Linked DNA regions of Arabidopsis thaliana. The protein of the gene in region 2 purifies or fractionates together with the protein of the main gene of each other region. This does not show direct contact. Each region holds a gene or a part of one and is shown on either strand. Other genes may lie near its edges.

Region 1 (3,925 bases), on a different chromosome or scaffold from region 2:
TGGTATTATATAAAAAAATGTGTTGGTATACCAAACTGGTTAGGATTAAGCTTAATATTCAGAAACATTCACAAGCAATTCAAATCTAGAAAACAGAGCAATACAGCATGGAAGTTCCAACATCTATCCGAATTCTCAAACAACGAGATTTAACCAACTTGGTTTAAACATAGACCGGCCACCAGTTCATCACTAGAGATGAGTGGAAGTTACCTAACTTAAGGTGCTTTCGCTGTTTCACGAACAATGGATAACTTAGCCAGAAGACCACATAGCTGAAGATAAGATCCAACTCCATCACAGATTCTCATATGCGCAAATCCAGTTTCCTGAAGAAAAGCATTGGTGTTAGACGAAAGTTTGGATGTTTTGAGCTGTCAAGGAGAATCAGATGTATACCTTCATGAACTCAAGTTTCAGATACTCAGCCATATCGTAATTCTTTATTATACGGAAAAGCGTTGTGATAATGTCGGTTGGAGAGTAGCCCAAATCATAGAGCTGCTTTAAGCCGTCACAGGCGATGTCAAACTTACTTTCCAACACATTGCGAACAATGTTCTTGACATGAAGCGGGTGAGGCTGGTCACAGACCTAAGTGAAGAGATCTTTGATTGATGATATGAAACCAATGTGTTTTATAAGCCAAAGTGAATTAAGGTTTTGTTTCAAACCTTGAAGACGTTTTCTTGGTTGACAAACGAAAACCCGCTGAATGTGGCTTGCAAGTTGTTCAGAGCTTGCCTCATGTCACCATCAGCTGTAAAGATTATCGCCTCAAGGCCTTCAGGCACATACGGAACCTTGAGAGATTGAAAACATAAGCAATTAGAAAATTTTCAAAATTGCAGTAAGTAAACATGTCGAATGAAAGAAAAGTGGCAAATCCGTACTTTCTCTGCTGCAACCACCACCAAGAGACGGCCTAGTATCTGCTGATCAGATAATCTAGAGAATCGAACTAAGGCACATCTACTCTGAATGGGCTCAATAATCTTGGCTGATGTATTACAAGCAAGTGCAAACCGCGTAGAGTTCGAATAGATTTCAATCGTTCTCCTCAATGCTTGTTGTGCTCCAGATGTCATACTAGTTTTTTAGAAACCGAAAACAGAAAGTCAGAAAAAAAAACACTTAACTGGAACAATTCAACTTGAGAAGGAATACTCAAGTAAAAGTCACTAACCTGTCAGCTTCATCTAGGATAACAACCTTATGACGCCCTGGAGGAAGTGTTACTTTCTTCTGCGCAAACATCTTAATTTTGTTCCTTACAACATCAATACCCCTACAAACATAACAGAACATTGAAGATGTCTAACCAAACAACGATTGAAGATAGAACAACATCCCATAGGTAAAAGATTGGCATCACATACCTATCATCAGATGCATTCAACTCCAGAACAGCCTCCTTGTAATTCGTGCCAAGGAGCTCATGAGCAAGAGCCAAAATGCTTGTGGTTTTACCTGTTCCAGGAGGACCCTAAGGATATACAACCAAACAACACAAAATCATATATCAAATCTCCACAAGTAATACTAAACACAGAGATTTTCTAAAAATCAAACCTTCATTAACTTTGGCAGACAATAGAAATTGATTAAAAACCCTCAAAATCTAAGCTTTATCATGAAATCTACACAGTAAACAAACCCAAAATGCCCTAATTGATCAAGTTTTCATCAAACCTAAAACTTTTTAGCAAATTCGAGGAGGGTTTAAATCAAAGAGTGTCAACAGAAGAGTAAAATCTTACGGAAAGGATAAGATTAGGCATGTTGCCGTCGCGAGCAATGACTTGAAGTCTGGAGACGGCGTCTTCGTTTCCAACGATATCGACTACTTTGCTCGGCCTGTATTTCTCCACCCATGGTTCATTGTATCCGTCACCGGTAGAGGTTGATGAAGAAGACGCCATTATCAGTCGGAAGAGAAGGAATCTCCGACCGGTGAGATTTGGAGGGTTTTCTGGTTTGGAGGGAAAATTGCTGGAGGATCCGATTAAGGGTTTTACTTTTATACAATCATTTCATTAAAGGGCCTATAAAAAGAAAACATCCGAATTCTGTACCCAAAGTATATTAATTTCACTATATAGCCCCGCCTTTTAAAACTCGTTGTTACATTTATGCCCAGTTCGGTTCGATAAATTTAAAATTGGTCTATTTTATTATAAATAGATGGGAAAAAAAACCAAAACAAACCTCAATTAATTTTTATTTGGACGTTTAATACTCAATTGTTTTTGGTTGGAAAGTAAATACACGAAATAATAAAATCATACAATTTAATACACAAATAATTAATTGTTGTTATTTTCATACTCACGATCTCACAACAAAAATAAAATTCCAATTTTACTCTTACCATCTCAATTAACTATTATTTTTTGATAATATAATATTAATTATATAATTTTAAATAAAAATTAATTTTATTAACATTTTAGTTTATGGTCTCTAAAATTTAAATTTTCATTTTTATTATTATTATATTATTCTAAAATTTAACATAAAAATTATAGAAAATCAAAAATATTTTAAAATAGTCATTATTACAATCTTCTTCTATCGTTGCAATATCAAAGAATCGTTTTCTCTTTAAGGAAATTTAGAATCAAAGATTAATCTAATTCGTTGAGATTTGGGTTGAGGTTAGCTATTTTGCTACTAAAAACAAAATTAGCCATTTTTATGAATTGATAAATCTTGAGAAATACGATGAGATTCGGGTTGAGATTTTGTCGAAAATAGTTTGATTCTTGAAGGATATACAATCGAAAAGAGAGTTTCTCACTACGAAGAATATTTACCGGCCATTTTAAAATATTTTTAATTTTCTATAATTTTTATGTTAAATTTTAGAATAATATAATAATAATAAAAATTAGAGACCATAAACTAAAATGTTAATAAAATTATTTTTTATTCAAAATTATAAAATTTAATATTATATTATAAAAAAATTAATAATTAATTGAGATGGTAAGGGTAAAATTGGAATTTTATTTTTGTTGTGAGATCGTGAGTATGAAAATAACAACAATTACTTGTTTGTGTATTAAATTGCACGGTTTTATTACTTCGTGTATTTACCTTCCAACCAAAAACAATTGGGTATTAAACGTCCAAATAAAAATTAGTTGAGTTTTTTTTTGGGTTTGTTCCCTAAATAGATGTCGTATAAACTATAATTTTTTCGATTAAAAATTTTCAATTTGGATTTGAGTTTAATTTAGATTTATTCCGGTTTTCGATTAAAAATTATGCTTAAAATTTTTCGAATTTTTGTTAATTTTTTACTCAGTTGGACAAAAGAATAAATTTCGGTTTAATATGGTTTGGTTCAGTTTCTTACCCACCCTTAATTTGAATCAAGTTAGTGTAAGTTTACCATATAGCCACTGAAAAAACTGAATATTACATATATGTCCCCTAATTTCTCTGGTTGTCATTTGAGGAGACATTAAATTCATTACAATTTTGATTTTTTATATTCATTTTTCAAACATCACGTTTCCCGATTTGTCCGACTCATCATCTTCTTTCTCTTTCTGTCTCTCTCTCTCTCTGTTCGAATCGAAACCCTAACAAATCCGAAATTGTCTCTGAGATTGAAATTGCCCCAATTTAATGGCGTAAAGCTTCACCAATTTCATCAATTCGATATCAATTTTTGAAATTTCGAAGAAAGGAAGAAACTTTGAAAAGAGAAAGCAAAATGTCAAGAGAGACGACGACGGAAGCAACGCCTTTGATTTTAACCGACGGAGGAGGAGGAAGGAGATCGGTGAGAAGACAAGGGTTAAGAGAAGCGGCGAGGTTACTAAGACATGCAAGTAGCGGGAGAATGATGATGAGAGAGCCATCGATGCTTGTTCGTGAAGCTGCGGCTGAGCAGCTTGAAGAGAGACAAAGCGAT
Region 2 (3,925 bases):
CCGGCAACAGCTAAACCAAGTGCAGCAGATTTTCCACGTCCTCGACTTGCAATCAAAGCAACTATGCTGCGGAGAGCCTTATCCAAAATTGCATCGAAAAATGTTACTACAGCTTTACCCTACAAAATGAAAACGCAGAATCTCCTACAATTTAATATCAACCATGCAACAAGAAAGAACATTAGCAAGACATAAAATTGATAGCTTTGAACCTGATCCAATGTACAACATTTCTTGATTAACGGACCAACAGGAAAATCATCACTTAGGTCTTCTTTCAAACTCTTCAGATCCCGCTCTGCCTCAGAGAGCCCCTCGGAATCCTTTAGTAGCACATAACATTGTAAAGTTATCAATTCTACCTGGAACTTTGGATAACATTCTCTCAATTTGCTACAAGAATTACCTTTTCTGTTGGAACTTGAGTAATAGATCTGATATGCGAGGAAAGCGGCAAAATATTCAACTCATCATCCATGACAACACATGCTTTGCAAGATGCAAGTGAAAGCAGAAAACGTTCATTGAAACGGCCGGCAGCCTCAGAATGCGATTCAGTTCGGAATCTGTCATGGACATCCTAATAAAAAAAAGTCATGTCACATTACTTAGATAATGCTTTTCTCCCACTTACTCAAAAAATAAGAAATTAAACTGTGGTTCATACCATAACCATAGTGCATAGACTAGTAAGCGATGTAAGTGATCGCAATATCAATACAACCAAACCACCACCTTCCACAGTCTCTATTGTTCTTGCTAGTAGATTTGGAGTTAAAGCTTCAAAATCCTGAATTTATCAAGAAGAAATAGTAACAATTACTCACAAAACGAAACAGGGACATAAGGCAGTCATCCTAAATGAATATAAATAAGAAGAAAAGTACCTGTAAGATGCACATGCCAAAAGTATTTCCAAGAATTCGTTCAGAATCTTTGTACAAGCAATGAGTGACTCTTCCAACATCAAGCAAACGCGAGAAAGCGTCAAGTTTCTCTGGATCTAACTGTCCTCTCTCCCTCAATCTCTTCAGCTGCTTCGAACGCTTTTGCTTATGACTGCAAACAAACGATACAGACTCTCACCATTACTGAAAAAAGCTATCTTCTTTATTCAAAGGACAATCAGAAATTTCACATTCCATTCTACACTTGTGCCCAGCTAAATTCTCAATATATATATCACAAGCATAAAATGAGCTAAAAGAGAATCATCTAAAGCCTTGAGAATTTGGGATTAAGAACAGAACCTGCTAATGTCAAGTTTATCCTTGTAGCACCACAACACACTCGGATTACATTTAATAACTGCCTTTGACAACATATGATGGAGGTTCACTATCTGTTAGAGAAAAAAAAAAGGTTGAAGATTTAGTATCCAACAAAACATTCTCTCAGGGAGATAAGTGTCCAAGTAGAAAACTTTCGAGAACCTGGTCACGAGACTTGTCACCAATGATTACAAACATGGAACGGTGTCTCAATTTGACACCGTTTTCAATCAGAGTCCTGATACGTTCATCAACCTTCTTCCTCATTCTCGCAAAACTAGCTCTTCTTCTTCCTCCTACTTAATCTTCTTAACACAGACAAAAAAAAACCCAAATTCAATAACAAAATATGGGTTCTGCTTTCGAGTGTTGGTAAAAAACGCAACTGACGAAGAAATCAATTTCCGTTTGGAACTGAATTTTAAGAACAACACCAAAATAAAAAAAAATAACAAGGACCACCGGAACAGAACTTAGGGTTTCTAAATTGTTGAGTAGGGTTTAGGACCGAAGAAATTATGATTTTTCTGCTTTGACCTTTTTGTCCTTCTTACTCAATGAATGAATCATTCATAACCGAGTACTAGACCGAAATGGTTTAATGCCACTATTCATATAAAATCGGGTTCAATAAAGTGAACTCTAATGGGCATAAGCATAAAAGGCCCAGTAAAAGAAGAAGCCCGGGAAGAATCATATGTGTCTCTCTCTTTTAGTTTTTTTTGTAGTTGTTAGTGGTGAGTCTGGTGACAAAATCCTTTGTTGAATGTTTTTGAAAACAATTTTGAAGCGATGTAACTTCAATTTATATAGCTGATGAAGCTGAATTACAAAATGTGATGATTTTGACATATAGAATATTATTAGTATATAGATAGAGAGAATAGAGAGATAACAAATAAAGTGAACTCTAATGGGCCAAAGCCCAAACGTTAAAGGAAAAGAAGAAGCCCGTGGAAAGTGTTTTGAAATGTTTGGATGAAACGCGGCTATTAGCTGTCGTCTCTTATCCAACCGAACCCAACGAGTTCGAAAACGAGTAGAATGTGAAAGCACGCGCCAAAAAGGGGGCGCGTGGGTGAAATCCGTATCCATCTTCAACGGGCTTAAGATCCATTTTAGTCAGTCTCAGTGATGGTAGTGAGAAGAAAAAGCGTCATTCTTACGTTTTTCTTTTAAGTTTCACTCAGAGACAGAAGCTAGAACAAAGAAAAGAGAAGCCTTTTGAAAGCAATCAACTTTAATCTTTTTCAACCAACACTAGTACTCTAGCTGTTGCTCTTTCTCTTCGTTTTCTTCCTTCCTTCTTCTCTTAGATCTCTTTCTTTTAACTTGAGTCTTATCCTTTGGATTTTTATTCGATTTGATTCCTCCGTTTGGTTTGGTCAGTTTTCTTTAGACTCTTAGTCTTTCCTCTGATCTGGGTTTTAGCTGTAGAAACTCGTGAGTTAGATCGATTGAGAACCCAACTATAAATTAGTAAAAAGAGAAACCCTTTATAGGTTTTTTGGGGTTTTTGTCTCAGTCTGACCAATGGGTTCACAGGTGAGTCTCTGTCTCTCTGTTTTGAAGAGATTGTAAGGAAACTAGGGCTTGTTTTCTTGTTTAGACTGTTCATGCAATTAGTTTTCGTGGAAGATAATTGATTGAACTTGCTTGTAGCTTAGTTCTTGGTTTCTATTGAGCTCTAAAGGATAGGTTTTTAAGAGATGAAATTGTTTAATGTCTCGTGACTCAAGTGTTGCTTATATATGTTTCCTTTGTTCAGATCTTTTTGGAAAGAATTTGTATTTGGATGTTGTTAAATAACTTGTTCAATGCACTGCTTCTAATGCATGAAAAAAATGGAATCTTGCTTTCGTGTTTATGATTGCGCTTGTGTTGATTCTTCAATGAATAGTTCCTCCTCTATGGAGTGTCTGCCAGTTTGAATGATCCTCTACTTTTGTGCATATCGAAAAAAATGACATTGCTTTTCACACTTTTTAGTCTGCATTCTTCAACAAATTTCTATAGTGTTTGAGTTTAGTTCGCCTTCATTGTGTTGTTGTGAGGTATGAGTTACTACTGGTAATTAAAAAGCAACCTTTTCAACTTGCAGGTTTCTTGTCTAGTTGCTTGAGGTTTTTGGTTTTTGGTTTGAATAGAGTTATGAGAAGAGGTAGAGGAAAAGGCAAGAGGCAGAATGCTACTGCTAGAGAAGATCGAGGGAGCGGCGAGGAAGAAAAGATTCCAGCTTTTAGGAAAAGAGGGAGGCCACAGAAGCCGGTGAAAGATGAAGAAGAAGAAGAAGAAGAGCTAGTGAAGAAGACAGATGAGGAAGAAGACAAGGATGATGATACAAATGGTTCAGTAACAAGTAAAGAAAATGTGACAGAGAATGGGAGGAAGAGGAAGAAACCAGTGGAGTCTAAAGAGAGCAACATAACTGAAGAAGAGAATGGGGTAGGGTCAAAATCAAGCACAGAAGATTCTATGAAATCATCGTCGTCTATTGGGTTTAGGCAGAATGGGAGCAGAAGGAAGAACAAACCAAGACGAGCTGCTGAAGCTGTTGTTGAATGTAATGGGGTTTGAAAAGAGGTTCTTAACGCTTTTGAAACCGCCTTTTTGGTATTTTTTTTGTTGTTTTTGTTAGATACTTTTGCTGTTAT

What was found.
Region 1: the proteins of AT3G57940 (region 2) and RFC2 fractionate together in Arabidopsis thaliana (co-fractionation; one large-scale study listed by BioGRID). This does not show direct contact.

The regions. Positions count from the first base shown.
Region 1 is NC_003070.9:23,421,850-23,425,774, forward strand, and holds the start of RFC2 (replication factor C 2), read right to left. Parts: upstream 2,066-3,925; 5' UTR 1,923-2,065; coding exon 1,761-1,922; intron 1,487-1,760; coding exon 1,380-1,486; intron 1,289-1,379; coding exon 1,187-1,288; intron 1,090-1,186; coding exon 894-1,089; intron 804-893; coding exon 675-803; intron 595-674; coding exon 400-594; intron 330-399; coding exon 219-329; 3' UTR 1-218. Other genes in the region: AT1G63170 (Zinc finger, C3HC4 type (RING finger) family protein), read left to right, coding at 3,725-3,925. UniProt on the Arabidopsis thaliana protein: May be involved in DNA replication and thus regulate cell proliferation.
Region 2 is NC_003074.8:21,447,173-21,451,097, reverse strand, and holds the start of AT3G57940 (GNAT acetyltransferase (DUF699)), read right to left. Parts: upstream 1,845-3,925; 5' UTR 1,539-1,844; coding exon 1,434-1,538; intron 1,343-1,433; coding exon 1,251-1,342; intron 1,060-1,250; coding exon 888-1,059; intron 791-887; coding exon 668-790; intron 581-667; coding exon 407-580; intron 324-406; coding exon 213-323; intron 120-212; coding exon 1-119. Other genes in the region: AT3G57930 (rho GTPase-activating gacO-like protein), read left to right, coding at 3,423-3,848. UniProt on the Arabidopsis thaliana protein: RNA cytidine acetyltransferase with specificity toward both 18S rRNA and tRNAs. Catalyzes the formation of N(4)-acetylcytidine (ac4C) in 18S rRNA. Required for early nucleolar cleavages of precursor rRNA at sites A0, A1 and A2 during 18S rRNA synthesis.